Linked DNA regions of Stegostoma tigrinum. The protein of the gene in region 4 binds, or shares a complex with, the protein of the main gene of each other region. Links are inferred from orthologs where the notes say so. Each region holds a gene or a part of one and is shown on either strand. Other genes may lie near its edges. The genes, in order: polr2f, gtf2e2, ercc3 and gtf2f2a.

Evidence for each region.
Region 1: gtf2f2a (region 4) and polr2f share a complex: the UniProt entries of both Homo sapiens proteins name them as parts of the TBP-based Pol II pre-initiation complex. The link is inferred for Stegostoma tigrinum from reciprocal best matches to the Homo sapiens genes GTF2F2 and POLR2F.
Region 2: gtf2f2a (region 4) and gtf2e2 share a complex: the UniProt entries of both Homo sapiens proteins name them as parts of the TBP-based Pol II pre-initiation complex. The link is inferred for Stegostoma tigrinum from reciprocal best matches to the Homo sapiens genes GTF2F2 and GTF2E2.
Region 3: gtf2f2a (region 4) and ercc3 share a complex: the UniProt entries of both Homo sapiens proteins name them as parts of the TBP-based Pol II pre-initiation complex. The link is inferred for Stegostoma tigrinum from reciprocal best matches to the Homo sapiens genes GTF2F2 and ERCC3.

The regions. Positions count from the first base shown.
Region 1 is NC_081391.1:23,912,413-23,919,778, reverse strand, and holds the start of polr2f (DNA-directed RNA polymerases I, II, and III subunit RPABC2), read left to right. Parts: upstream 1-4,350; 5' UTR 4,351-4,421; coding exon 4,422-4,441; intron 4,442-6,871; coding exon 6,872-6,941; intron 6,942-7,366. UniProt on the Homo sapiens protein: DNA-dependent RNA polymerase catalyzes the transcription of DNA into RNA using the four ribonucleoside triphosphates as substrates.
Region 2 is NC_081354.1:37,467,428-37,474,937, reverse strand, and holds the start of gtf2e2 (transcription initiation factor IIE subunit beta), read right to left. Parts: upstream 3,012-7,510; 5' UTR 2,911-3,011; intron 1-2,910. UniProt on the Homo sapiens protein: Recruits TFIIH to the initiation complex and stimulates the RNA polymerase II C-terminal domain kinase and DNA-dependent ATPase activities of TFIIH. Both TFIIH and TFIIE are required for promoter clearance by RNA polymerase.
Region 3 is NC_081360.1:103,816,800-103,824,706, reverse strand, and holds the start of ercc3 (general transcription and DNA repair factor IIH helicase subunit XPB), read left to right. Parts: upstream 1-4,901; 5' UTR 4,902-5,002; coding exon 5,003-5,021; intron 5,022-7,907. UniProt on the Homo sapiens protein: ATP-dependent 3'-5' DNA helicase/translocase. Binds dsDNA rather than ssDNA, unzipping it in a translocase rather than classical helicase activity. Component of the general transcription and DNA repair factor IIH (TFIIH) core complex.
Region 4 is NC_081365.1:74,518,663-74,526,602, reverse strand, and holds the start of gtf2f2a (general transcription factor IIF subunit 2), read left to right. Parts: upstream 1-4,936; coding exon 4,937-4,993; intron 4,994-6,886; coding exon 6,887-6,960; intron 6,961-7,073; coding exon 7,074-7,092; intron 7,093-7,940. UniProt on the Homo sapiens protein: TFIIF is a general transcription initiation factor that binds to RNA polymerase II and helps to recruit it to the initiation complex in collaboration with TFIIB.

The DNA.
Region 1 (7,366 bases), on a different chromosome or scaffold from region 4:
TGCAGGAACAGGAGTAGGTCATTCAGCCCCTTGAGCCTGTTCTGCATGGCCGATCTGTGGCCTAACTCCGTAGACCTGTCTTTTAGCCTGTATCCGTTAATACCTTTGTTAATAAAAATCTAAGATTAAGATCAAGTAACTGATCCAGAGTGCTCCAAACCCCTCTCTCCCGGTGTGTGTAGACGCGTTTCATAACATTTCTCCTGGATAGGCTGAGAATTAGGGTCAGACCATGTCCCCTAGTTCCAGAATCCCCATACACATATTGAGAAAGAAAATTTTCTTGAATATTTGACACATTCTTCATCCAAATCTTTCACTGTATGGCATTCCCAGTCAATGTTTGGAAAATTAGAATCCCCCCATTATTACAACTTTATTATGCTTACAATTACCTGAGATCTCCCTGCATAGTTGTTTCTCAATTTCTCTCTCGCTACTGCGGGCCTCTTGTACAATCCCATCGAAGTGATCTGGATTGTATGGACTGCTCCAAGCACAGCCAACCTATTTTCAAACATTTACTCTTTAGCACCCAGTCTAGCTATTAATTCTCTCAATCAGCAATTGGCTTTGTGTGTCTTTGGGCACCGGACTCACTGTTTTCTGTTCTCTTCCCCGTATCATCCAATCCCATGCCTATCATCAATATAATTACCCAGCTATTTTCAGCTCTGACAAAATGTTAGTGGACTCAAAATATTAACAACATTACTTTTCTCTATACAGATGCTGCAAGACTTGCTGAGTTCCTCCTGTGTTTGGCATTTCTAGCAGCCAGAGTTCTTTGTTTTATTTTGGATCGATATTGGGACCCTAGTTTCTCCCGTTATATATTTATGATTATATGTGGGTTTTCAAGGCACATTTTCAAAGTTTGCAAATGAATCAAACTTGGGCGATTTGCAAATTATGTAAGGGTCATGTGGAACTCCAAAAGGATATCAACAAGTTGGAGGAGTGAGCAGATGTGATATTATTTTTTAAAATTCACTCATGGGACATGGGTGTAACTGATTGGCCAATATTTATAGCCTATCTATAATTTCTATCAAATATAGGTTTGGATTACTTTCTATAAACTCCCCATAAAAGTAGTAACTAAGTCAGTCAGTCCTTCCAGAAGTGACAAGTTGCTGGAAAAACTCAGCAGGTCCAACAGCATCTGTGCAGAGAAAGCAGATGGTGCCAGACTTGTTGAGTTTTTCCAGCAATTTCTGTTGCTGACCTCAAGCATCCACAGTACTTTGGCTTTTGCTTCCCATTCAAGCATGGATCAGAGGGGGAAACCCTGGAGTGTTAATGGAAGGTAGTGGACACAGGAATGTCTCTGGATGTTGTTTACGTGGAATTCCGGAAGGCATTTGAAAGAAGTTTCCACGGGACTTGCAGCAAAACACTGACAGCTCAGAAACCATTTGAGTGGCAGGCAACAGACCGTCAGGATGATGGGTGGGCAATCAAACTGACACGATGTGACAGTGGTGTCCCACAAGGATCTGTGTTTGGGCCTCAATTAATCAGATTTATTAACAACTCAGTTGTGGCATACAAAATCATATATCCAACTTTGCTGGTGATGCAAAGTTAGGCAGCATTGTAATTTTGTGCTATCAACTTCAAAAGGATATTGTTAAATTAAAATGTATGGGCAAAATTGTGGCAGATGGAGTTCAAAAGAAGCAAGGATGAGGTTATCCATTTTTTGGACTCAAAAGAATAGATCATGGTACTTGAGATAATGGGAACTGCAGATGCTGGAGAATCCAAGATAATGAAATGTGAGGCTGGATGAACACAGCAGGCCAAGCAGCATCTCAGGAGCACAAAAGCTGACGTTTCGGGCCTAGACCCTTCATCAGAGAGGGGGATGGGGTGAGGGTTCTGGAATAAATAGGGAGAGAGGGGGAGGCGGACCAAAGATGGAGAGGAGAGTATAGGTGGGGAGGTAGGGAGGAGATAGGTCAGTCCAGGGAAGACGGACAGGTCAAGGAGGTGGGATGAGGTTAGTAGGTAGGAGATGGAGGTGCGGCTTGGGGTGGGAGGAAGGGATGGGTGAGAGGAAGAACAGGTTAGGGAGGCAGAGACAGGTTGGACTGGTTTTGGGATGCAGTGGGGGGTGGGGAAGAGCTGGGCTGGTTGTGTGATGCAGTGGGGGGAGGGGACGAATTGGGCTGGTTTTGGGATGCGGTGGGGGAAGGGGAGATTTTGAAGCTGGTGAAGTCCACATTGATACCATTGGGCTGCAGGGTTCCCAAGCGCAATATGAGTTGCTGTTCCCAACCTTTGGGTGGCATCATTGTGGCACTGCAGGAGGCCCACGATGGACATGTCATCTAAAGAATGGGAGGGGGAGTTGAAATGGTTCGTGACTGGGAGATGCAGTTGTTTATTGCGAACTGAGCGGAGGTGTTCTGCAAAGCGGTCCCCCAGCCTCCGCTTGGTTTCCCCAATGTAGAGGAAGCCGCACCGGGTACAGTGGATGCAGTATACCACATTGGCAGATGTGCAGGTGAACCTCTGCTTAATATGGAAAGTCATCTTGGGGCCTGGGATAGGGGTGAGGGAGGAGGTGTGGGGGCAAGTGTAGCACTTCCTGCGGTTGCAGGGGAAGGTGCCGGGTGTGGTGGGGTTGGAGGGCAGTGTGGAGCGAACAAGGGAGTCATGGAGAGAGTGGTCTCTCCGGAAAGCAGACAGGGGTGGGGATGGAAAAATGTCTTGGGTGGTGGGGTTGGATTGTAGATGGCGGAAGTGTCGGAGGATGATGTGTTGTATCCGGAGGTTGGTGGGGAGGTGTGTGAGAACGAGGGGCATCCTCTTTGGGCGGTTGTGGCGGGGGCGGGGTGCGAGGGATGTGTTGTGGGAAATGCAGGAGACACGGTCGAGGGCGTTCTCGATCACTGTGGGGGGGAAAGTTGCGGTCCTGGAAGAATGTGGACATCTGGGATGTGCGGGAGTGGAATGCCTCATCCTGGGAGCAGATGCGGCAGAGGCGGAGGAATTGGGAACAGGGGATGGAATTTTTGCAGGAGGGTGGGTGGGAGGAGGTGTATTCTCGGTAGCTGTGGGAATCGGTGGGCTTGAAATGGACATCAGTTACAAGCTGGTCGCCTGAGATGGAGACTGAGAGATCCAGGAAGGTGAGGGATGTGCTGGAGATGGCCCAGGTGAACTGAAGGTTGGGGTGGAAGGTGTTGGTGAAGTGGATGAACTGTTCGAGCTCCTCTGGGGAGCAAGAGGCGGAGATCAGGGTACTTTCTGGATTTACCTGTACGCCTACAAAGTAGGTTAAATATAATGGATGGGTTCAGGTGCATGGGTCTTTAAAATATTGTCAACAGGTACAGAAAATAATCAAGCAAGTTAATGGAATGCTGGCCTTTATATTGTGCACACGTGTAGTCTCTAGAAATTATACAAAACCCCAGTTAGAGCCCCACTTGCAGCACAGTGTCTGTGCACCACACCTCAGGAAGGATACCGTGGCCTTAGAGGGAGTACAATGTAGGTTTACAAGAATGGTATCAGAGATAATGGGAACTGCAGATGCTGGAGAATTCCAAGACAATAAAATGTGAGGCTGGATGAACACAGCAGGCCAAGCAGCATCTCAGGAGCACAAAAGCTGACGTTTCGGGCCTAGACCCTTCATCAGAGATGAAGCTCCTGAGATGCTGCTGGGCCTGCTGTGTTCATCCAGCCTCACATTTTATTATCTTACAAGAATGGTACTTGGGCCTCAGGGGTTATGAGGAGAGATTAGATAAATCAGGCCTGTTTTCTCCAGAATTTAAAAGGTGTTCTCATAAAAGTCTTCAAGATCTTAAACAGGAAAAACAGACCCTTCTTCCTAGGCCCGAACCCTCAGCCTTCCTGCTCCTCTGCTGCTGCTGCTGCTGCTGCTTGTCCAGCCCCACACCGGGTTATCTCAGATTCTCCAGCACCGGCAGCTACTGCTGTCTTTAAAGGGATGACCTGTTGCATTTGTGGGAAATGGGTTGGACTTGGCTGAGGCCCATTTCGCAAAGCGTCTGGAAGTTAAACCAAATGGTTTGTGATGCTGCTACAGGCCTGAGGTCCACCCTCCAGAAAAGGCCCCTTAGGGCCACTCAGTACATGCTGGTCAAAAACAACCGCTTAACCGTTGTGCTTCTATATTCCAGCACTTCACATCACAAATTACACCCTTACAGTTGTTAATACGAGATAAATTCACGAGTGTAATCTCTGCCCAGAACAATGTTCATGTGAAAGTATTTACTAGAACTACAGGCAATGAGGGAGAACGCCCCCTGCCAGTATCAAACATGGCGAAGCACTCCGATTGGTATAAGGCGCAGGCGCAGTGACGTCATGTCCAATAACCCTTGATCCGGAAGCACCTTGCTTGACGCCGCTCAGTGTGGACTACCACCGCCATCATGTCGGACAACGAGGACAAGTGAGTGATCGGCGAGAGCCGCTGTTTCCAACACAAGCTGCACACACCGGTGCGGACACAGCCCGTGACCGCAGACAACCGCCAACTCACCCCGGGAGCCGCTGCCGCCCTCCAACGAGGCCTCTTCCGGTCAATTTACCAGACGCCCCGAGAAGTGATCGAGCGAGGCTAACGGACAGCGACTTGACAGGGTCTGCTCACAGTGCCGCCTGCTGCCCGGGCTGAGTCACTGCACCCCCCCACACAGTGCCGCCTGCTGCCCGGGCTGAGTCACTGCACCCCCCCCCACACTGCCGCCTGCTGCCCGGGCTGAGTCACTGCACCCCCCCACACTGCCGCCTGCTGCCCGGGCTGAGTCACTGCACCCCCCCACACAGTGCCGCCTGCTGCCCGGGCTGAGTCACTGCACCCCCCCACACAGTGCCGCCTGCTGCCCGGGCTGAGTCACTGCACCCCCCCCACACAGTGCCGCCTGCTGCCCGGGCTGAGTCACTGCACCACCCCCACACAGTGCCGCCTGCTGCCCGGGCTGAGTCACTGCACCCCCCGTTACAGTGCCGCCCGCTGCCCGGGCTGAGTCACTGCACCACCCCCCCCGTTACAGTGCCGCCTGCTGCCCGGGCTGAGTCACTGCACCCCCCCCTGTTACAGTGCTGCCTGCTGGCAGGGCTGAGTCACTGCACCCCCCCCGTTACAGTGCCGCCCGCTGCCCGGGCTGAGTCACTGCACCACCCCCCCCGTTACAGTGCCGCCTGCTGCCCGGGCTGAGTCACTGCACCCCCCCTGTTACAGTGCCGCCTGCTGCCCGGGCTGAGTCACTGCACCCCCCCGTTACAGTGCCGCCTGCTGCCCGGGCTGAGTCACTGCACCCCCCCCCCGCCCCACAGTGCTCCCCACTGGCCGGGCTGAGTCACTGCACCCCCCTCACAGTGCCGCCCACTGCCCGGGCTGAGTGACTGCACCCCCCGTTACAGTGCCCCCCACTGCCCGGGCTGAGTCACTGCACCCCCCCCGGCCCACAGTGCCCCCACTGCCCGGGCTGAGTCACTGCACCCTCCCCGTTACAGTGCCCCCATTGCCCGGGCTGAGTCACTGCACCCCCCGCCCCACAGTGCCCCCCCTACTGCCGGGGCTGAGTCACTGCACTCCCCACCCCACAGTGCCCCCACTGCCCGGGCTGAGTCACTGCACCCCCCGTTACAGTGCCCCCCACTGCCCGGGCTGAGTCACTGCACCCCCCCGCCCCACAGTGCCCCCACTGCCCGGGCTGAGTCACTGCACCCCCCGCCCCACAGTGCCCCCACTGCCCGGGCTGAGTCACTGCACCCCCCGCCCCACAGTGCCCCCACTGCCCGGGCTGAGTCACTGCACCCCCCACCCCACAGTGCCCCCACTGCCCGGGCTGAGTCACTGCACCCCCCCCACAGTGCCCCCACTGCCCGGGCTGATTCACTGCACCCCCCGCCCCACAAGCCCCCACTGCCCGGGCTGAGTCACTGCACCCCCCCCCCCACAGTGCCCCCACTGCCCGGGCTGAGTCACTGCACCCCCCCCCCACAGTGCCCCCACTGCCCGGGCTGAGTCACTGCACCCCCCCCCCACAGTGCCCCCACTGCCCGGGCTGAGTCACTGCACCACCCCCCCCACAGTGCCCCCACTGCCCGGGCTGAGTCACTGCACCCCCCACCCCACAGTGCCCCCACTGCCTGGGCTGAGTCACTGCACCCCCCCACAGTGCCCCCACTGCCCGGGCTGATTCACTGCACCCCCTGCCCCACAGTGCCCCCACTGCCCGGGCTGAGTCACTGCACCCCCCCCCCCACAGTGCCCCCACTGCCCGGGCTGAGTCACTGCACCCCCCCCACAGTGCCCCCACTGCCCGGGCTGAGTCACTGCACCCCCCCCACAGTGCCGCCCACTGCCCGGGCTGAGATACTAACACACCCCCCGTGCCCGGGCTGGGGGTCCCTGTTCTGTGTGCCAAAGGGCTCCTGCTGTCTCAGCTGTGCCCCTGCACCAAGTGTCCTTCCCTTGCCACTGGTTTTAACTCTCCTGTAGCACCTCCCGCCGTCTCGCTGACTGAGAGCCCGCAGCTTTCTGCCTGGTGCTGCTGGTGGGGCGGTGGTAGCACTGGCTAATGCTTCGGAGCGCTCTTAGGGGACCATGTGGTCTGTGGCTGCTTCTGTTTCTTAAGACGTGTGGATTGGGGCTAATGTTTGATAACTGGAGGCACAGAGGTAAAGCTGGAACGGGTTGGAAAGGCACCACTAAGGGTTTTAAAGTTAATTTTGTGGGGCCTGGTTTAAAAGGGATGTGAAGGATTAGTCCTTAGTTCACAGGTTGCTGATTGAACATTCTCTTGGACAGCCAGAGCTGAGTTGTTGATACTTCTGTTTTGTGCTTCTAATATTTTTCTTTCTTTAATTTTAGTTTTGATGGAGATGATTTCGATGATGCTGATGAAGATGAAGGAATGGATGACCTGGACAATGCGGAGGAGGTGGGCACCTCGAACAACCAATATTCCTCTCTCTATCTGTAGTAAAGCTCTCTCAATTCTCCCCAACATGGGACTTCACTCCTCCCTGCTCTCTAGCTCCACCGCTCCTACAACCCGCCTTGATCGCTGCACACCTCCAGTTCTTGACTTCTGTCATTCTACCAAGACAGTCGTGCTTCCAGCTGCCTGGACTCCAAGCTCAAGAATTCCCTCCCTAAGTCTTTGTCTTCACTTCTCTCTGTCTCTCACCCATTACGATGCTCATTAAAGCCCGTCTGTTTCAGTGAGGCTTTTGCCACACCTTGTCTTTTTCTGAGGGTCAGGTTTTATCAAACAATAGTACACTGAAACCCAATTTATGAAGACTAATTGGATGATCAGATTGTCTGGTGGAGGAGCTGCAGAGCCAGTTTCTGCTGTCTTTT
Region 2 (7,510 bases), on a different chromosome or scaffold from region 4:
AAACACCAAATCCATTTTGGCTCTCCCTCTAGTTGACCTATATACATACTGAGCTAGAAATCCTTCCTGGACACACCTGATAAATTCTGCACTAAGGAGGTTCCAGTCTATATTAGAGAAGTTGAAGTCACCCATGACAACAACCCTATTACTTCTACACCTTCCCAAAATCTGTCTCCCAATCTGTTCCTCAGTGTCTCTGTTGCTATCGGGGGCTCTATAGAAAACTCCCAATAAAGTGACTGCTGCTTTCCTGTTTCTGACGTCCACCGACACTGACTCAGTGGACAAAGCCTCCTCCACGGCCTCCTTTTCTGCAGCTGTGATACCATCCCTGATTAGCAATGCCACTCTCCCACCTCTTTTACATCCCTCCTTATTTTTTTTAAAACATCCTTACTATTGTGTTAATTTACTCCTTACCCCACCTCTCTTTTCTTTCCATCTATCTTTCCTGAAAATTGAATACCCCTGGATATTGAATTCCTATCCTTGGTCACCCTGGATCTAGGTCTCTGTGAACCCAATTACATCATATCCTTTAATAACTGTCTGTGCAGTTATATACGATCATATAACCAGGAACTGTGTGCGTCAACTTGTAGAGATCCAAGCAACATGGTCTATGGTGAGATGTGTGCAGAATCGCACTACAAGTGGTGAGTCTCATCTTGATGTTGGGAACAACTCTCAGCATCTCTTATGCTCTTCAAAAATCAGCATGGCAAGATCCTTTCCTGGTACTGGTGAGGTGCCAATTAGCCATAATTAATGCTTAGACTCAGAGTCAGAGGCATACATGCAGAAACAGGCCCTTCGGCCCAAAGCATCCATGCTGAATAAGTTTTCTGAACTGAACTAGTCCTACTTGCCTGCATATGGCCCATATCATTCTAAAGCTTTCCTATCCTTGTATCTGTCCAAATGTCTTTTAAATGTTGTAACTGTTCCTGCCTCTACCACTTCTGCGAACAGCTGATTCTATACATGCACCACCCTCTTGTGGGAAAAAGTTACCTCTCAGGTTCTTTTAATATCTTTCCTCTCTCACCTTAAACCTATGTCCTCTAGTGTTGGAATCTCCTACACTCCGAAAAAGACTTAAGCTATTCACCTTATATATGTCCCTCACGATTTTGTAAACCTCTATAAGGTCATAGCTCAGCCTCCTATGCTCCAGCGGAAAAGTGTCCCAGCCTATCTTAATTCAAACCTTTCAGTCTCAGAAAGGATCTTTTTTGCACCCTTTCCAGTTTAATAACATTCTTCCTCTAGCTTGTTAAATACCTGGTTAAAAGCCCAACTCACCTCATCAACAAACAGCCTCTCATCTTCCCAAAGTCACCAAATAAGTTTGACATCTGGAAAGCTTGACAAGGAAACCAGAGTGAGCATCTGGTTGAATCAGTTCACCACTTGCTCTTAACCACTGCTCCAACACTCAGTCTACGTAGACGTTTGCAGGATCCCTGCCTTGTCTTTTTCAATCCCATTCCTCAGCCAGATACCAGTCTTAGTACTGATTTCTTGCCATTGTCATTTAGCAGACATAAAGCTAGGAAGGGTGTCATTTGTCAGCAGACCTCAGTCAAGAGAGGGATAGCCTTCACTTGGAGTTTTTGGCTCAGTAATTCAATGGTGGCCTCCAATATCAGTCCAGACTTTGATCAGGGAGGTTGAGTCAGGTTTCTCTTCTCATAAAGGATGAGGAGCCAAATGTCAAGCAACCCACCACTCACCTCAAGTCTTTCTGTCCTACTGTGGGCTTTACTTCTCATGGATTGAGAGAAAGGCAAGTATTATGGGAGACAACAGTGATGGCACAGCTTTACTGTTGCCACAAGTGGGAACACGTGCTAAGTGAGAGTGTAGGTAGACAGCACAAATGCATACATGGCTGATGGTGTTGGGTTGTTGGGGCATATGAGGGTGAGTGGGGTAGATGTTGCAGGCAATAGTGAAATTACTACTGCATTAGGCTTGATGTGGAATGGATACAGCAGCAAAGGCAGTATTGGACAGAGTATGGTGGGACTTACTCGAGCAGAATGGCAAAGGACTTTGATGTTCTTCATGCAGTGCTAGATATTCTTGCTGTCAGCTGAGACAGCTCTAACCCAGGTGGCAACCTTAGACATCATGGCACAGTTAGGTGTTGCAGTTGGGTGGAGATTTGGGGGAAGTGGAAGCCCAGCAGGACCTCAAGTCCCTGATCACAACGTGGGATGCCAGTTTCCCTCTATGTGCCATATTTCAACAGGTCACCTCGACACCGAGTGCTTGTTCAGGTATACGTCTGGCTTTTAAAAAGTGATGGAGCACATGGGATGCCGAGAATTCTGTGACATCCGCTGAGTGGCGGCTTGTTCCCGGAACGGCATGTGGTAAACGTGGTCGGAATCGGACGAGACGGATCCCATAAAGGCAGGGGACAAAACCTAAAAAAAAACTAGATGCAAACCGGCAAAAACGACGTAACAGTCAGCCCAATGTCATTATTTGCATAAAATGTACAAAAACAAACGGCCTACATTCTTTCAGCTTTCTCCCAATCTATAGCCATTTTCGTGAAAGGAGGCCAGAGTTCAACTCCACATTCTGTATTTCACTAATCTCCTGTTAAGTCTTTCTCAAGTGCCTTTTTCAATCTGTACGATATCCCACCAAATTCTCAACATCCTCTCCAGTCCCCCTGACTCTAAACTAATCGTTTCTGCCTTCTGCTGTAAGAATAAGTCATAAGTTTCAGGAGTTCCCCGGGCCCACGGTGCCTTGAGTAGAAATTCGGCGAAAAGGACAGTCAGCCATCAGTACTCGACTCTCAATAAACATCCAAACAACGGGAGCAAAATAACTACTGATCACTCTACAGAGTTCTGGGTAAACCGGCTGTAAGCTCATAAAACTTACCAGCACCCCAAACCAAGGCCACCGACAATGTAGGACTCCGTCTCCAAGCAACCCTGTGATCACCGATGTCATCGATCTAACCGCCGTTCGCACTTGATTGGTTACGTCTGGTGACAAACCCCGCCCCCTTGTCGTCACTGGTTGCTGGAAGACAAGCAGCTGCATTCACCGGTTACAGTTACCGAGAGTCTTGGTCAGTCCGGGTATCAACTGACTTAGCACTATGGTCAAAATGGAAAGCTTTGGATTCAAAAAATAAATTCACTTTGAAGCCGATGAAGTTGAAGGAGCCTTAGCGTGAATCTGATATTGATGAAGGGGCAGAAAGGAGAGGGTAACGGTGATTGTAAAATAGAATCACCGGACCTGAAGCGTTAACTGTTTTTTCCTTCACAGATGCTGCCAGACCTGCTGAGCTTTTCCAGCAACTGCCGTTTTTGTAAAAAATAGGAAATGCATGTGTTTCGCACCATCGTTTAAAAGAGAGTTTTCAAGGGTGTTTTTTTTAATTCTTAAAATCCGCGGGAAGGCTGGCAGGCCGGCACAGCTCTTCACTTTGTTGGATGTCAGGGTAGGATACCTCACTTCCACGACGACTGGAATTTTCCCCCCTTTGAAGTTGTCAGAGAAGGGGAAGCTTATCAAAGTCAGTTCAGGTAGGTTTTTCCATCCATGATTTCCATTTGCCTGCTAGCTAGCCTGCAGAAGGTTGACCATTTACCACTGGGGCCATTTTTAAGTTGCAAGTTTTTAAAAGTGCTGGAGAACCCCTGTCCTTTAGGTATCTCCTCGCTCCTTTAGCTACATTAGCAGCCCTTTGACTGTTGAAGGACACCTTATTCTATCCAACTGACATGTGAGTCCCTATCCCAGCACAAAACTAGCGTGGTGGCCTTTGTGATATTTTGCTTTTCTCACTGAAGGGTAATGATCACCTGCGAGATTTTTATTGTCATTTTTAATATCATTAGTGATAATTTAGAAATAAGTTTGATGCTGGTAGATAATAAACTTCAAAGGTGGTAACCCGGTGAGGTAGATGGTAACAGATTTGAGGAAATCAGATCAATTAACTGGGTAAACACATTGCAGGTGTATTTTAACACAATAAGCTTGAAGTAATTTCTGGCAATAAACTAAGTTGTGATATGTTAAAGGGAACAGAGAAATCTTGGGTTAATACAGATGAATTTTGGTAGTCGGAGAAGCTGATGAGGCTGTTGAAAATAGGTTTTTTTAAACTTCGTTCTGTACATCAAGGCATACAGTACAAAAGCAAGAAAGGTATGCTAAACAATTATAAATCACTAGGTACACATCAGGTGGAGTATTTTGTTCAATTGGAGATGTACGGCACAGAAACAGACCCTTCGGTGCAACTCATCCATGCCAACCACATACCCTAAATAAATCTAGTCTCATTTGTCAGCATTTGGCCCATATCCCACTAAACCCTTCTTAGTCATTTATCCATCCAGATGCCTTTTAAATGTTGTAATTGTACCAGCCTCCATCACGTCCTCTGGCAGCTCATTCCATACAAGCACCACCCTCTGTGTGAAAAAAGTTGCCCCTTAGTTCCATTTTAAATCTTTCCCCTCTCATGTCAAACCTATGCCCTTTAGCTTTTGACTCCCCACCCTGGGGAGAAGACCTTGATTATTTACTCTATCCATGCTCTGATGATTTTATAAACCTCTATAAGGTCAGACCTCAGCCTTCGACACTCTAGGGAAAATAGCCTCAGCCTCTTCCTGTAGCTCAAACCTTCCAATCCTGGCAACATCCTAGTAAATCTTTTCTGAACTGTTTCAAGTTTCACAACATCCTTCCTACAGCAGGGTGACCAGACTGCACGCAGTATTCCAAAAGTGGCCTAACCAATGTCCTGTACAGCTGCAACATGACTCCTATACTCAAAACACTGCCCATTAAAGGCAAGCATAGCAAATGCCTTCTTCAGCATTCTATCTACCTGCAACTTCACTTTCAAGGAACTATGAACTTGCACTTCAAGGTCTGTTTGTTTAGCAACACTCCCCAGGACCTTACCAATAAGTGTATAAGTTCTGTACTGATATGCTTTTCCAAAATGCAGCACCTTGCATTTATGTAAATTAGACTCCCATCTGCCACTCCTCTGCCCAGCTGATCAAGATCCTATTGTACCGTGAGGTGACCAACTTTGCTGTCCACTACATTTACAAGTTTGGTGTCATCTGCAAACTTACAAACCACACCTCCTCTGTTCACATCCAAATCATTTAGAAAAATGACAAAAAGCAGTGGACCCAGCACTGATCCTTGTGGCATACCACTGGTCACAGGCCTCCAGTCTGAAAAGCAACCTCCCACCACCACCCCCTGTCTTCGACCTTTGAGCCAGTTCTGTATCCAAATGGCTAGATCTCCCTGTATTCTGTGTGATCTGACCTTCCTAACTAGGAACCTTGTTGAATGCCTTACTGAAGTCCGAAGAGATCACGTCCACTGCTCTGCCCTCATCAATCCTCTTTGTTACTTCTTCAAAAACACTCAATCAAGTTAGTGAGAAATGATTTCCCATGCACAAAGCCATGTTGACGACCCCTAATCATCCTTGCCTTTCCAAATACATGTAAATCCCATCCCTCAGGATTCCCTCCAACAACTTGCCCACCACTGATGTCAGGTTCAGCAGTCTATAGTTCCCTGCCTTTTCCTTTACCAATACTCTTAAAATAGTGGCACCACATTAGCCAGCTTCCAGTCTTCTGGCGCCTTACCTCTGGCTATCGATGATACAAATATCTCAGCAATCACTTCCCTAGCTTCCCACAGAGTTCTACGGTACACCTGAATAGGTCCCGGGGATATCCAACTTTATGCGCTTTAAGACATCCAGCACCATCACCTGTGCAATATGGATGTCTTTCAAGATATTGCTACCTATTTCCCCACGTTCTATATCTTCCATATCCTTCTCCTCAGTAAACACTAATATAAAATACTCGTTCAGTATTTCCCCCATTTCCTGCGATTCTGCACATTGACAGTCCTGCTGATCTTATTGCTTCTGAGCAATAACACTTTGTCCAGGTCTTGGAGAGGATATGACGATATTCATACAAACATACCAGGAGTTAGGGACTTCAGTTTGATAGAAAGATTAGAGAAATTGGAATTGGTTTTAGAGTAGAAAGGGTTAAGGAGAACATTTGTCAAGGCATATAAAATCATAAAGGGCTTTCCAGCAGAAGGATCAATAAGCAGAGTTTACAGAAAAAAAAAGTGGAAATGAAGTTTTTTTTTTAGTAACTGGACATGCACTTGATGAGCCATAACCAAGAACTACAATAAAGATTAGGCCTAATGGTTTCTTATAGCAAGCACAGACGCACTGGGTCAATGGTTGTCTTCTGTGCTGAAAATTTGCTATGTTTATATGGCAGGCAGGTAAAAGTGGCCAGCTCATGACTGCAGGGAGCAGAGCAGAACTGGAAGGAGACAGACGCATTTGCATCACATTATCCCACTGGAGTACTATTTTCTCAGCATCTGGTTGTGGGGTTGGTTGTGGCATATTGTCGCATTTGGCAGCACTGCGAATGTTCAGGATAATGATAAGTTCCTCTTTGTGATCCTTTTTTAATCTTATCTCAACTACATCCTGATATCTAACATGAAATGCATCCAGGCTGCTGTATGACAATGGATGCCTTCTTTCCACTCCATTCCTCACATTATTCCTTCCTTCTAATTGTCTGCTTCAGATACCATTGGCATTACTAGCTAGCGACCACAGCAGTCTCATAAGAAAAGCAAAAGCTGCAACAGACCTCTGAGAAGCCTCATCATTTGATCTGATTTATGCATCACTAGCTCAGATCATGGCACAGCATGCATCCTAGAGAATATTTCTGAGATGGAATTTGTGCATGGTGAGCTGCAGCAAGCCAGGGGAATAGGCGAGATCATTTCTCAGTTCTTCAAAAGATGTGATCATAGATGATTCTCCTTTCCAGGACTCAGATAAGGACTCTTGAGTCCACAGTTGATTCTCTTGTATGAGATGCATGAGGACTCATGAGTCGTATGAACATACAGGTATAAACATTAGGAGCTGTGGACTACTTGGGACCTAAAGCCTTCTCCACCATTCAATAAGATCATGGTTGATTTGATTATTCCACACTCCCACCCACTCCCAATAATCTTTCAACTCTTGATTATCAAAATTCTACCTATGCCTCGAAAATATTCCACCATCTTTTGAGGAAGAATTCTGAAGAGTCACCACTTTCAGACCAAACATTTTTCCTCATCTGTTTTAAAAGGGTGACCTCTTTTAAAGAGTGGCTGTTAGTGCTGCATTCTCCCACAGCAGGAATATCCTTTCTATACCCACCCTGCCGAGACTCTTCAGTCATTTTAAGAACCAAAAGAACTGCGGATGCTGTAAATCAAGAACAAAAGAAGTTGCTAGAAAAGCTCAGCAGGTCTGGCGGGATCTGTGGAGGAGAAAACAGAGTTACCGTTTCGGGTCTGGTGACCCATCCTCAGAACTGATGGTGGCTGGGAAAGCAGCCAGGGGAAACAATCACACAGTGACTATCCTGTC
Region 3 (7,907 bases), on a different chromosome or scaffold from region 4:
ACAGTGAAAAATTCCAGAGTGATAAGTTCCAGTCCGCTCCTGCAGGTCCCAGAGCACTAGGCTACGCTGCTTCCGCGGGCCGCTCTCAGTCAAGGGCTCACTCTACCACAACTCCTGGGAATCACCTGTTCGCTCTGCGGGATTCGGCATAAGACATTGGAGTGGAAGTAAGGCCATTCGGCTCATCGAGTCATGTGCTTGTTCCGTTACGGGGCACGGCCTGCTCGCTCTGGTCTGCTGCGGGACATGGCTTACTCGCTCCACTCCTCGACTCCACTCTTTCTGCTTAATGCCCAAAACTCATTTTAGAACATAGAAAAGTACAGCACATTACAGGCCCTTCGGCCCACGATGTTGTGCCGTGGAATAATCCTAATCCAAAAATAAAATAACCTAACCTAAATTCTCAATTCACTGCTGTCCATGTGCATGTCCAGCAGTCGCTTAAATGTCACTAATGACTCCGCTTCCACGACTACCACTGGTAAACTATTCCATGCGCTCACAACTCTCTGGGTGAAGAACCTCCCTCTGACATCTCCTCTATACCTTCCTCCTAACACCTTAAAACTACGACCCCTCGTGGCAGTCGATCGTGCCCTGGGGAAATGTAGTTTCTGTTTCCTCAACTTTCTGCTTAAATATAGTCGTTGGGCAATATTTTTAAGAACACGTACGTTTATAAATTTGCTTTAAAGAGCATTTCCTAATCCATTTGGGTACAGTTTCATTACTACTGCTGAACTTGGGCTTGTCAATTCATAATCTTGGATTTTAAATGACCAATGTAACAAAGTACAGTTCTATTTGTTAGTCACATTGATTAACTTCTTAGTAAATGAAAATTATATTCAAAAGCCTTTAATATCTACCTACTTATGTCCTTGTGCTCAAATCTGGAAGAATGTTCTGCTGCCCCAGGCTGCCTGGGTTTGGTCTCCTGGAATCCTGTGATGAGCCTCAAGGGGAAGAACTGCCCTTTTCATGACCATCCCATCTACTAACACCTCCAGGTTTGTGCAGGTGAAGCAGGGAGTAAACTTTAGTTTGAAACGTGGGAATAACAACAGTTCAGCATGGTAAGTGGGGAGCAATAATAACGCTAGGCCAATTAGTCCAAGAAAGGCAATGGCCTAGTGATATTATCGCTAGACTAATAACCTGGAGTAAGATAACAAAGTGTGAAGCTGGATGAACACAGCAGGCCAAGCAGCATCTCAGGAGCACAAAAGCTGACGTTCGGCCCTAGAGAGCACCAGGTACTGTTCTGGGTACTCACATTCAAATTGCGCCATGGAGGATGGAATAAAAAATAGTCTAATGATAATCAGGAAACCATTGCCAGTTGTCAGGAAAAACCCATCAGGTTCACCAATGTCCTAATACACTAGCTGAGGTTAATCAATGTCTTAGGCAAGTGCAGTATAACCATGAATAAAAGCACTGGACAACAGATAACATAGAACATAGAACATAGAACAGTACAGCACAGAACAGGCCCTTCAGCCCACAATGTTGTGCCGACCATTGATCCTCATGGATGCACCCTCAAATTTCTGTGACCATATGCATGTCCAGCAGTCTCTTAAATGACCCCAATGACCTTGCTTCCACAACTGCTGCTGGCAACGCATTCCATGCTCTCACAACTCTCTGCGTAAAGAACCTGCCTCTTACATCCCCTCTATACTTTCCACCAACCAGCTTAAAACTATGACCCCTCGTGCTAGCCATTTCTGCCCTGGGAAATAGTCTCTGGCTATCGACTCTATCTATGCCTCTCATTATCTTGTATACCTCAATTAGGTCCCCTCTCCTCCTCCTTTTCTCCAATGAAAAGAGACCGAGCTCAGTCAACCTCTCTTCATAAGATAAGCCCTCCAGTCCAGGCAGCATCCTGGTAAACCTCCTCTGAACCCTCTCCAAAGCATCCACATCTTTCCTATAATAGGGCGCCCAGAACTGGATGCAGTATTCCAAGTGCGGTCTAACCAAAGTTTTATAGAGCTGCAACAAGATCTCACGACTCTTAAACTCAATCCCCCTGTTAATGAAAGCCAAAACACCATATGCTTTCTTAACAACCCTGTCCACTTGGGTGGCCATTTTAAGGGATCTATGTATCTGCACACCAAGATCCCTCTGTTCCTCCACGCTGCCAAGAATCCTATCCTTAATCCTGTACTCAGCTTTCAAATTCGACCTTCCAAAATGCATCACCTCGCATTTATCCAGGTTGAACTCCATCTGCCACCTCTCAGCCCATCTCTGCATCCTGTCAATGTCCCGCTGCAGCCTACAACAGCCCTCTACACTGTCAACGACACCTCCGACCTTTGTGTCGTCTGCAAACTTGCTGACCCATCCTTCAATTCCCTCGTCCAAGTCATTAATAAAAATTACAAACAGTAGAGGCCCAAGGACAGAGCCCTGTGGAACCCCACTCACCACTGACTTCCAGGCAGAATATTTTCCTTCTACTACCACTCGCTGTCTTCTGTTGGCCAGCCAATTCTGTATCCAAGCAGCTAAGTTCCCCTGTATCCCATTCCTCCTGACCTTCTGAATGAGCCTTCCATGGGGAACCTTATCAAATGCCTTACTGAAGTCCATATACACCACATCCACAGCTTGACCCTCATCAACCTTACTAGTCACATCCTCAAAAAACTCGATAAGGTTTGTAAGGCATGACCTACCCCTCACAAAGCCGTGTTGACTGTATTTGATCAAGCCATGCTCTTCCAGATGGTCATAAATCTTATCCCTCAGAATCCTTTCTAACACCTTGCAGACGACAGACGTGAGACTTACCGGTCTATAATTGCCGGGGATTTCCCTATTTCCTTTCTTGAAGAGAGGAATTACATTTGCCTCTCTCCAGTCCTCAGGTACGACTCCAGTGGAGAGCGAGGATGCAAAGATCTTCGCAAGTGGCGAAGCAATTGCATTTCTCGCTTCCCAAAGCAGCCGAGGACAAATCTGATCCGGGCCTGGCGACTTGTCAATCTTAATGTTTGACAAAATTTTCAGTACATCAGCTTCCTCTATCTCTATCCATTCCAGCATGCACACCTGCTCTTCAAAGGTTTCATTCACTACACAGGTCGTTTCTTTCGTAAAGACAGAAGCAAAAAACTCATTTAGGGCTTCCCCTACCTCCTCAGGCTCCACACACAAGTTCCCTATGCTATCCCTGATCGGCCCTACTCTTTCTTTGACCATTCTCTTATTCCTCACGTAAGTGTAAAATGCCTTTGTGTTTTCCCGGATTCCTTCTGCCAAGCCTTTCTCGTGCCCCCTCCTGGCTCTCCTCAGACCATTTTTGAGCTCCTTCCTTGCCTGCATGTAATCCTCTCTAGCTGAACTTGACCCTAGCTTCCTCCACCTTATGTAAGCTACCTTCTTCCTTTTCACTAGAAGCTCCACCGCTCTCGTCATCCAAGGTTCCTTTATCTTACCCCGTCTTGCCTGTCTCAGAGGGACATATTTACTCATCACTCCCAACAACTGTTCCTTAAACCATCTCCACATGTCTATAGTTCCCTTACCATGGAACAACTGCTCCCAGTCCATGCTTCCTAACTCGTGTCTAATCGCATCATAGTTTCCTCTTCCCCAATTAAATATCCTCCCATTCTGCCTAATCCTCTCCTTCTCCATAGCTATGTAGAATGAGAGTGTGTTATGGTCACTATCACCAAAATGCTCTCCCACCACAAGATCTGATACCTGCCCCGGCTCGTTTCCGAGCACCAAGTCTAGAATGGCCTCTCCCCTCGTCGGCCTGTCAACGTACTGAGTTAGGAAACCCTCCTGAACACACCTTACAAAAACAGCTCCATTCAAATCTTCTGCTCGAAGGAGGTTCCAATCAATATTAGGAAAGTTAAAGTCACCCATTACAACAACCCTACTGCGTCCTCACTTTTCCAAAATCTGTCGACCTATGCTTTCTACAATCTCCCTGCTGCTATTGGGGGGCCTGTAGTAAACCCCTAACGAGGTGACTACTCCCTTGCTGTTCCTAATTTCCACCCATACTGACTCAGTAGGCAGATCTTCCTCGACAATGGAAGCTTCTGACTGATGTTGGAGAAATTCAGAAGTTTTAAAAATAAAACATTTTCCAACAGTTTCCAATTAAGAAGTCATACCAGATGTGAAACAATAACTGTTTCTCTCTTCGCATGTCCTGCCAGCCCTACTGAGTTACTCCAGCATTTTGTGCTTTTTCTACATTATCTCCTTGCTGAAATGAAGGATTTATGAAGGGTCAAATAGATGTTATGACATCCTAAAAAAGATGCAAGACTTTTATTTGTAATAGTTGAGTTGGTATGTGATATCAGCTTCACATAGAAGCCAATCAGCAACATTACCTGTACTGTACCTGCCTATCCAGTGCGTGCAGTTGTATGTTCTATTAGTGCCTTATTTCACATTTACAATTCTGATGTGTTAAAAAAGACTTTTGGTTCTACAATATCTTTTCATGACCACACCTCTACCCAACGCACTTTACAGCCAGAGGGCAGCCACGATGGTAATAGAGCAGACCTGATTGTCAATGTGCCACTTGGTAGGTTGCTGCAAAACGTCAATATGGGAATGATGAGGCTGTCCGTTTTTTTGTGCGAACTGTCGAGCAAGTATTGCCCATGACTACCAGGATTCTGTCTCCCTGCTAAGATAACAAGGTGTGGAGCTGGAATGAAGACAGCAGGCCGAGCAGGAAAGCTGATGCTTCGGGCCAAGACCCTGCTGTGTTCCTCCAGCTCTACACCTTGTTATCTCAGATTCTCCAGGATCTGCAGTTCCTTCTCTCTCTGCACCACAGATCACTTGGTATCACTGAGCTGGAGGAATCATGTGACTGATGGTTGGGTGGAGAGGATTTTCGCTTTGCGCACGCGCGCCGGTACCGGCACACCAGCGCCGGGTCCAAACATGCGCACTGGGCTCGGCCGTATCTGCGCATGCTTCTAGACACCGGGGAACGATGGGCAAGAAGGAGAGAGGTAAGGCCCGCGGTTACACAACACCCCCCCCACCCATCCCCATCCCCGCCCCCCCCATCCAGACCCACCCCATCCCCATCCCCGCCCCCCCCATCCAGACCCACCCCATCCCCATCCCCGCCCCCCCCATCCAGACCCACCCCATCCCCCCCATCCAGACCCACCCCATCCCCATCCCCGCCCCCCCCATCCAGACCCACCCCATCCCCATCCCCGCCCCCCCCATCCAGACCCACCCCATCCCCATCCCCGCCCCCCCCATCCAGACCCACCCCATCCCCATCCCCGCCCCCCCCCCCACCCATCCCCATCCCCCCCCACCCATCCCCATCCCCACCCCCCCACCGCACACCCCCCCCCACCCCCCCACCGCACACCCCCCCCCACCCCCCCACCGCACACCCCCCACCGCACACCCCCCCCACCGCACACCCCCCCCACCGCACACCCCCCCCACCGCACACCCCCCCACCCCTCCACCGCACACCCCCCCACCCCTCCACCGCACACCCCCTCCACCCCCCCACCGCACGCGCACCCCCCCCACACAACACCCTGTTGTGCTAGCTGATATTTATCCCTCAGCCAACATTGCAAAAACAGATTGTCTAGCTGTTGTACTTTTGCTGTTTATAGGTTATGTTTCCTTCATTGCAACAGTAACGTCATTTCAAAAAGTCCTTAATTGACTGTAGAGTATTCTGACATTTCAATGGTTGTGATAAATGCCGTATAAGTGCGCATCTATCTTTGTTTTATGTGTGTGAACAGTACCAGATTTGATATTGATATCCTCTGTTCTCTTTTACTGAACCAGTCGAGTTCCAGATTGTTGTGAGGCTGGTTGTGTTTGGTAATTGGCAGTTTCTACGCGGTATCCTGTGCACGATCCAAAGATGTGCAGGTTAGGTGGATTGGCCATGCTAAATTGCCCGTAGTGTTCGGGGTGTGAGGGTTATAGGGGGATGGGTCTGGGTGGGATGCTTCGAGGTGCGGTGTAGACTTGTTGGGCCGAAGGGCCTGTTTCCACGCTGTAGGGAATCTAATCTAATCCTTCACAGCTGTCCCATCAAAATAGGTTAACTTTAACTGAAGGACTGTTTCATGACCACAGGATGCCCTAATATCCAGTTGTGATGGCGTCACTAGTACAGTGTCAGGGAATACTGTATTATCTCACTCACAGCAAGTTTGCTCAAGCTGCGGAGAGAAATTCTGGATCACCTGGAGTATTGTGTTCAGTTCTGGGTGCCTTATTTAAGGAAGGATGTTACAACCCAATAGAGAATTAAATGAAGTTTACTAGAATGATACCAGCAATGTGGGATTTTAGCTAGAATGAGAAATTAGGCTTATTCTTCTTGGAGTAGAGAAGATTTAAGAGGTGACTGTATGGAGGGGTTCAAAATTATGAACAGTTTTGTCAAGTTGAAAAAGTATATGGTTGATTCTTAAATGCCTGCTGGCTAATTGGGGAATGGCAATTTATGCTGGCCTGGCTAAGAACACCCTCATTCTGTGATTAATAAAACATATTTTGTTTCAACTTATTGGTACGCCAGTAACCAGGGGGTCACAATTTCAAACTTGTCAACCAGAAAGTTGGGAGTTAGATGATGAGAAACTTCTTTACTCAGTTGTTTAGGATTTGGAATACACTGCTTGGGAGAGGCAGATTCCTTAGGAGGTTTCAAACAGTCTTCTGTACTGTAAAATCATGGGGTGTGGGCATTACTGGCTGGCCAGCAGTTAATTGCCCATCAGTAGTTGCCCCTTGAGATGCAAATGTGAGGTTTTGCACTTTGGAAAAAAGAATACAGGCATGGACTATTTTCTAAACGGTGAGAAAATTCGTAAAGCAGAAGTACAAAGGGATCTGGGAGTGTTGGTCCAAGATTCTCTAAAAGTTAACTTGCAGGTAGAGTCCATGATTAAGAAAACGAATGTAATGTGATGTTATGTTGTTGTTTATCTCAAGAGGGTTGGAATATAAAAGCAGTGATGTGCATCTGCGACTTTATAAAGCTCTAGTTCGGCCCCATTTAGAATACTGTGTCCAATTTTGGGCCCCACACGTCAGGAAGGACATACTGGCCCTGGAGCGTGTCCAGCGGAGATTCGCACGGATGATCCCTGGAATGGTACGTTTAACGTACGATGAACGGCTAAGGATCCTGGGATTGTATTCATTAGAGTTTAGAAGGTTGAGGCGAGTTCTAATAGAAACTTACAAGATAATGTATGGCTTAGACAGGGTAGATGCTGGGAAGTTGTTTCCATTAGGCGGGGAGACTAGGACCCGTGGGCACAGCCTTAAAATTAGAGGGGGTAAATTTAAAACTGAAATGAGGAGACATTGCTTCAGCCAGAGAGTGGTGGGCTTGTGAAATTCATTGCCATGGAGTGCAGTAGAAGCCGAGACGTTAGATGCCTTCAAGGCAGAGATCGACAAATTCTTGATCTCAGAAGGAATCAAGGGCTACGGGCAGAGTGCAGGGAAGTGGAGTTGAAATGCCCATCAGCCATGATTTAAATGGCGGAGTGGACTTGATGGGCCGAATCACCTTACTTCCACTCCTATGTCTTATGGTCTTATGGAGAGGTGCCCCAGATGGTGAGTTGCCCTCTTGAACAACTGGGGCAGCACGGTGGCTCGGTGGTTAGCACTGCAGCCTCACAACACCGGGGACTCTGGTTCAATTCCAGCCTCTGGTGACTGTCTGTGTGGAGTTTGCACATTCTCCCCGTGCCTGCGTGGGTTTCCTCCGGGTGCTCCGGTTTTTCCCACAGTCCAAAGATATGCAGGTTAGGTGGATTGGCCATGCTAAATTGCCCGTAGCGTTTAGAGGGATGGGTCTGGGTGGGATGCTTCAGGGGACTTTGTGG
Region 4 (7,940 bases):
TTAGTCATTACTATGTTGTTTGCCAATATATAAACCTATGTCTTTACATAATTCAGCATCTAGTTATTTATTTATTTATTATAAATTTATGTAGTTTCTTTCATCCCTGGCCACACCACTTGAAACAATTTTTGTTACAAAGTATCATAGTCAAGTTATGTAATTTGTGCTGTGGATCACTTGCAACAGCTTTCATTTATATTGGGAATATCACAAGGTATCCCTCAAAGCGATGGAAAACAAATAGATACTAAGTTTGAGGAGGAGGTGGTGAGAGGAGTGAGGATCAATGACTTGTAAAGAGCAATTTAGATACCATAGGGTCATACAGCACAGAAACAGACGCTTTGGCCCAACCATTCCAGGCTGACCATAATCCCAAACTAAACTAGTCCCACCTGCCGGTGCCTGGCTCACATCCCTCCATGGATTTCTTATTCATGTATTTATCCAAATGCCTTTTAAATGTTGTAACTACCCGTATCTACCACTTCCTCTGGAAGTTAATTCCACATAGGAACCACTCTCTGTGTAAACAAAATGTTGGCCCTCATGTCCTTTTTAATCCTTTCTCCTCTTACCTTAAAAATATGCCCCCTAGCCTTGAAATCCCCCACCCTGGGGAAAAGACATCTCCCATTCACCTTATCTATACCTCATATGATTTTATAAACCTTCATAGGGTCACCCCTCAGCCTTCTACACTCCAGTGGAAAAAGTCCAGTGAATGGGAGGTGTCTTTTCCCCAGGGTGGGGGATTACAAGGCTAGTGGGCATATTTTTAAGGTGAGAGGAGAAAGGTTTAAAAAGGACATGAGGGCCAACATTTTGTTTACACAGAGAGTGGTTCCTATGTGGAATGAACTTCCAGAGGAAGTGGTAGATATGGGTACAGTTACAACCTTTAAAAGACGTTTGGATAAATACGTGAGCCTCTCCCCAAAACTTAAACCCTCCATTCCTGGTAACATGCTGGTAAATCTTTTCTGAACCCTTTCCAGCTTAATAATATCTTTCCTATAACAAGGCGACCAGAACTGGACACAGAACTCCAGAAGAGACCTCACCAATGTGCTGTACGACCTCAGCATGACGTTCCTAACTCCTATACTCAGAAGTGACAAGTACTGGTGCCTGCAGAGAGAGAGAAGTGGATGTACAGCAGGCAAGAGAAGTGGGTGATAGGAATGGAGGAGTTTAGAGCTAGGGGGAACCAAAGGTTATGGAAGATTTTAGAAATGAGCATTTAAAATCTAAAGCATTGTGACCAGTAGCCAATGTAGGTGAGTAGAGATAGTGAGTAGAACTTGGTGTGACATTAAGGTTGTCCTGAATGATGCCCCAGTTGAACGTTCTGGAGGAGACCCTGGGAGAGAGAGTTCCAGATAACTGTAAGTCTCTTACACACTCTGTTTATCCTGTCCCTTGCCAAACAAATATTAGTTTTACAATTTAAGAAATATGGTACCTGTGATGAGAATATAGAAGATATTGCGATTAAGTTTGAGGATGACACCAAAATTAATGGCTTAGTGGGCGGTAAGGAAGGGTATCTAAGATTACCAAGAGATCTTGATTGATTGGGTCAGTGGGCTGAGAGGTGGCAGGTGGAGTTTAATTCGGATAAATGTGAGGTGTTGCCTTTTTAGTAAAACAAAAAAGAGCAGGACTTATACTATTAAAAGTAGCCCCTTGGGAAGTGTTGTCGAATAGAGAGACCTAGAGGTTCAGGTTGAATTTGGCATCACAGGTAGACTGGATGCTAAAGAAGGCATTTGGCACGCTTGCCTTCGTGGTTAGATCTTTGAGTATAGGATTTGGGGCGTCATTTTGTGATTGTATGGGATGTTGGAGAGGCCTTTTTCTGGAGTACAGTTCTGGTCACCCTGCTTCAGGAAGGATATTAAATTGGAGAGTGTTCAGAAAAAAAAGTACCAGGATGTTGGTGGGAATGGAGGGTTTGAGTTATAAAAATAGGCTGGGACTTTTTTTCTCTGGAGTGTAGGTGGCTGAGAGGCGACCTTAGAGGTTTATAAAATAATGAGGGGCATACATAAGGTGAATAGCAAAATTCCTTGCCCTAGGAGTTGAAAACTAAGAGGCGTATTCTTAAGGTGAGAGGAGAAAAATTTAAAAAGGGCATGAGGGGCATTTGTTTTTCTTATACAGAGTGATTTTTGGAGGATGTAAGTCAAAGAGGAGAACTTTGCGGCTCATTGAGGCTGGAGGGAAAAATTGAGAAAGAAGTGCCATATGGGCTGCAGTAGAGAAAGAGGCAGGTAATTCAATTTGAGGTTTACTCAGCTCTGACCAGGATGCCATAGTTGCAAACAATCATATCAGCGTGAAGCAGCGCCGGCATGGAGACGTCTCTCTTGTTGATGAGGGTACAGAAAGGTGCTGCATAATTATTGTTGCTGTGCATGCTCTTACCAGTCACACTTGGTAACCTCCTTTCTCATTTCTGAGTCACACTTCATCTTCACTAGCTCCAATTTTGCATTCATAACAGGTATGCACTGTACCAATCAACCAGTATGTAGAGCAGGAATAAAATTCAGTCTGTTCAGAAGATCTGTAAATGCAAAGCAGTAATCAAAAAAAAACCAGGGAAAGTAAACAAGTCAAGTTGCTCAAAGTACTTGTTGAGTACTTTCCAAGTGATTAGAAAGTAAGATAGGAATTTAATTTGCATGTTCTTCTACCCAACTAAATTTCCACATTGATTCTATCAGTTGTTTAATTTTAATCACAGAAGGGGGCAGATGGATAATTAGAAAATCTGTGGTTCTATTCATGTTAAGAACTCAAAAATTAGGACGTTGTATTATATTTTTGACCTCTGTAATATTTTCCTTGTACAAAACAATTGAAAAACTGGGTGAGGAATTTGAAGTTCCTTGAGTTGAAGGTCTGCATGAAAGATGCAACTTTTTTTTCTGAATCTAATTCAGGAATAAACAGACGGGAATAGAACGGCATTAACATTCTTGTGCACATAGTATGTTTTCATGCAACTGCAGTTGTTACAGGAAATACTTATTTTCCAGGACCCAATTTAAAAACACTTGGACTTGCTTCATTTTCATTGGAAACTTTGGGCATTCCTTTCACAAATATCCACCGACCTTTCACTGCCACTCCCCTGTGTCCGCATTGGAAAGAATGTAAAGCGCGATTTGTTTTTAATGTAAAGAAGATGCATATATATGATTATTCACATATGCTGCCATGTGTTTTAAAAACATAGAGAATAGGAGCAGGCCATTCAGCCCTTTGAGCCTGCTGCGCTATTCAATAGAATCATGACTGATTATCCAACTCCATACCCTGTAACCGCTTTCTCCCCATATCCCTTGATAGCCCTTTAGCAAAAAGAACCATATCTGACTCATTCCCGAAAACATTCAGTATTTTGGCTTTCACCAGTTTTTGTGGCAGTGAATTCTACAGGTTCACCACTCTCTGAATAAAGAAATTTTCCTTCATCACAGTCCTAAATGGCCTATCCTGAATCTTTAAACTGTGACCTCACTGGTCATTGGGAACATCCTTCTTGCATTTACCCTGTATATTCCTCTTGGAATGTTATAGGTTTCTTTGAGATGCCCCTCATTCTTCAAACTGCTAGTGCTTGTAAACCTGACCAATCCAGTCTCTCTTAATGCATCAGTCCTGCCATCCCAGGAATAGGCTCATAAACTTGCATTGCACCCCCTCCAAAGCCAGAGACCCAAACTCCACAAAATGATCCCGGTGTGGTCTCTCCATATAGAATCGTAACAGGACATCCCTGCTCCTGTACTCAAACCCTGTCACTATGAAGGCCAACATACTATGTGCTGCCGTCACTGTTTGCATGCTTTCCTTCAGCAGTTAGTGCACTAGGACACTGAGGTCTCAACATAACTTCGTGTTTCCCAACCTATCACCATTAAGATAATAATCTGCGGCCTTGTTTTTGTTTATCAAAATGTTACCCTCGCTTTTTCCACATTATACTTCACCTGCCTTGAATTTGCCCATTCACTCCACTTGTCCAAATCACACTGAAGCATCTCTGTGTTGTCCTCACAGCTCGCCCTCCCACCTGTCCTGTGTGATCTACAAACTTGGAGATATTACATTTAGTTCCCTTCTCTAAAGTATTAATATATGTTGGGAATAGCTGGGGCCCAAGCACTGACTGTTGCAGCACCTCCCTACTTACTGCCTGCTTTTTGGGTAAAACACCCATTTATTCTGACTGTTTCCTGCCAAACAGTTCTCCATTCCCATGTCAGTATGGCTCAGTGGCTAGCACTGCAGCCTCATAGCGCCAGGGACCTGGGTTCAATTCCAGCCTTGGGCAACTGTCTGTGTGGAGTTTGTACATTCTCCCCGTGTCTGCATGGGTTTCCTCCGGGTGCTCCGGTTTCCTCCCACAATCCAAAGATGTGCAGGCTAGGTGGATCGGTGATGCTAAATTGCCCATAGTGTTCAGGGGTGTGTGGGTTGTAGGAGAATGGGTCTGGGTGGGATGCTTCAAGGGGCGGTATGGACTTGTTGGGCTGAAGGGCCTGTTTCCGCACTGTAGGGAATCTTTTCTAATCTAAACTACCCTTAATCCCTCGCACTTTCATTTTGCATGCTAATCTCTTAGGTACATCTATTGAAAGCCTTCTGAAAGTCCAAGTAAGCCCATCCACACTCTTCCCCTTAGCAACTGATTTTCTTTTCATAATTCATGCTGACTCTGCCCAATCTGGCCTCTGTTTTCCAGTTGCTCTGCTCTAAATCTTAGAAGGATAACAGTATTTTCCCCACTACCAATATTTAGCCTAATGGCCTATAATTCTCTGTTTTCTCTCAATCGCCTTTTTAAACTAACAGGGTCACAGTTAACTACCTTCTAACATATAGAAACTGTTCCACAGAGTCTAAACAATCTTGAAAGATGACCATCAATGCACCCACTATTCCCAGGACCACTTCATTAAGTACTGTGTGGGATGTAAATTATCAGGCCTTGGGGATTTATCTGCCTTTAATCCTATCAATTTCCCCAACACGATTTCCCTACTAAAACTAGTTTTGTTCAGTTGCTCCCTTTGACTAAAGTTTCCCAACGTTTTTGGGATATTATCTGTGCCCATCTTTGTGAGATCAGAACTATATGTATTTAACTGGTCTGCCATCTCTTTGTTTCCCATTATAAATTATCCTGTTTCTGACCGTAAGGGGTACATTTGGCTTCCCACCTCCTTTCCTCTTCATGCACCTATAGAAGCTTTTATATTTAGTTTGCATGTTCCCCACAAGCTTACTCTCAAACCCCATTCTCCCCCTTAATCAATCCCTCTATCCATCTTTGCTGAAATCTAAACTTCCCCCCAATCCACGCATCTACTTTTTTGATTAATTTGTATGCCCCTTCTTTGGATCTAATGCTATCCCTAATTTCGCTTATTAGCCATGGTTGAGCCACATTTCCCATTTTATTTTTGTCCCGGACAGGAGTGTACAGTTGTGACAGTTCACCCATGTGCTGTTTTAATATTTGCCATTGCTTATCCACCATCATCCCTTTAAGTAACATTCCTTGATTTATCATAGCCAGTTCGCACCTCATACCACCCTAACCTCATTTGGATTCAGGATCCGAATCTGAGTCACCTACTACACCTTCCATCTAAGTAAAGAATTCTATATAACATTATGATCATACTTCCTCAAAGGGCCTCACATAGCTAGGTTGCCAATCATTCCTGTCTCCTTTACTCAAGTATTCACTGTCTATACCTAAAATACAAATACTCTTTTCTCCGTCCTTGTGAAAATATCTCTCGGGTTTCTTTTGAGTTGGCCCAGTTTGGTAATCCCATTCACCTTCTCTGTCTTCAAAGGCAGACCCTTGCTGAAATACCATTGAAAGCAGGAACCCCATGACAATACTGCAATAACTTAGCACTCCAATTTCCTCTTCTCCTGAGTGTTGGTGAGTCAGCAACGCAACCTGTATGCTGCTGAGCTATGGAGCCACTGTTTTGGGTCTGCCACATCTTAGGGTAGTTTAACAGATGTGTTAAAACTTAGGATATCCCTCTTTCATTGCTAACTGTTAGAATCCCTGTCTCTTCATTACTCACCTCCTTTTGTAAAACACTGTTCAAAGCAGAGTATGACAGGCCTTGTTGGTATATTCTAAAATCTTTTGAACAGTTCATATCCATCTTATTTGTACAGCATTAATTTATAGAACTCACGCTTGATGCACTAAATGTTATTTAACTGATTAGTTATGAAGTGTTTTTCATACAGTGATTATAATTGAAAAACCTGGTCGTTAGCTAGTTGCTTTATTGAGAGTTTGTATTATCAAAAATGTTAATTCAAATATTTTAAATTCTTATGACTGTTGGGACACAGTCTGGACAGATTTTATAATCCAGAAAAATCCATAATATGTTATGTGTAGATGTCAGACATCAATTTCTTTGAGGTCCTAAAGTGAATCTCTGCACAAAGAATCACTGGGGGTATATTACCCCTGTTCATCATGTCCTTTAAAATAATAAAATATGATTTTTTTGTTTACCAAAGTGCTCCTCTTTGCAATCTGAAATAGCTCCATATGCAGCGTCTGGTCAGTTTTTGAAGTTTGACTTCCTGTACTGACACATTTTTATTTTCTCTTTTGTGCAGCCCAGCTTTCCCACTCTCCCTTGTGCTCACTTTTTCACCTGCACTGGGCTCTGCAGGAGAATCTGATTCCCTACTTTGAGCTATCACTCCTCAGAAAAAATTAACAAAAATGATAATGCTGGCTATTACATAAGCAAACTGTGTTTTATTTTTGGCCTTCATGCTTACCGTAAATAACTGTTTGTATTACACATGTCTGTAGGTCCCCAAATACCTTTCTCAGCAATGGGCTAAAGCAACAGGAAGAGGTGAAGTCGGAAAAATAAGGATAGCCAAGTAAGTGACCTTTATTCTGTCACCAGAGTAGCTGTCAGAGGCTGACAAATGTGGTTTTTAAATGGTAAAGTGGTGAGCATGAAACTAATCTGCTTCCTCTTTCTATTTAACAGGAATCAAGGAAAAACTGAGGTAAGAGAATGCAAGGAAGGAAATACAATTGAAAGGTATTTTTGCCAGCTATCTCCTATCTGTCACCCCCAGATTTGTGTACTGTTCAAAAACAGCAGATTTATCTCTTACACCTGGTGGAGTGGCATGATGGGATAAACCCAGGAGTGTCCTGCACAGCCTGAATAGCCGTTCTATTTAAGAACAAACTCCTGTAATGTTTGTTCAACAACTGCTGAAAGCTTATGACCTTAAAACTTAACCTGGATTGTAAAGTATTGTTCTTTGCATTTTATGCCTCAGCCCTTTCACAACACTTGACACCTATCTTGTCATGAGTAATGCTATGGGATTAGCATCTGCTGGTATATACTGTAGATGGCTTGATTAAGTGTTTCTGGTACAAATGAGCATCATTATGACTCATTGTGATCATCATGAATGATATTGGAAATATTAATAGTAGATCTTTGCATTACTATCTAAATGTCAGATCTTGAGAGGAGATCGTTTCTTACTAATTGCTGAACGTTTTAGAAAAAATTGTTCCTGACAGTTTTATTTGCAGGCTTAAATGGAATGTAAAGCTAAATGTAGAATTTGCTTCCTGCATTATATTGTTGTTTGATGTTCTGACATCAGATTGAGAAGATTTCCTTTTCAGATTAAACTGACTGGGTTTTTCTTTTTCTTTTGAAAATAAGACTTATAGGTGACCTCATTAAGGTCTTCAGAATGAGTGGGTTAGACAGGATACGTGTGAAGAGGATGTGTAACACTTATGGGAGAGTGTGAAATAGGGGGCTACAAATACAAAATAGTATCTAAAGGGTTTACTGGAGACATGAAATATCTTGAACTTTGAGGTT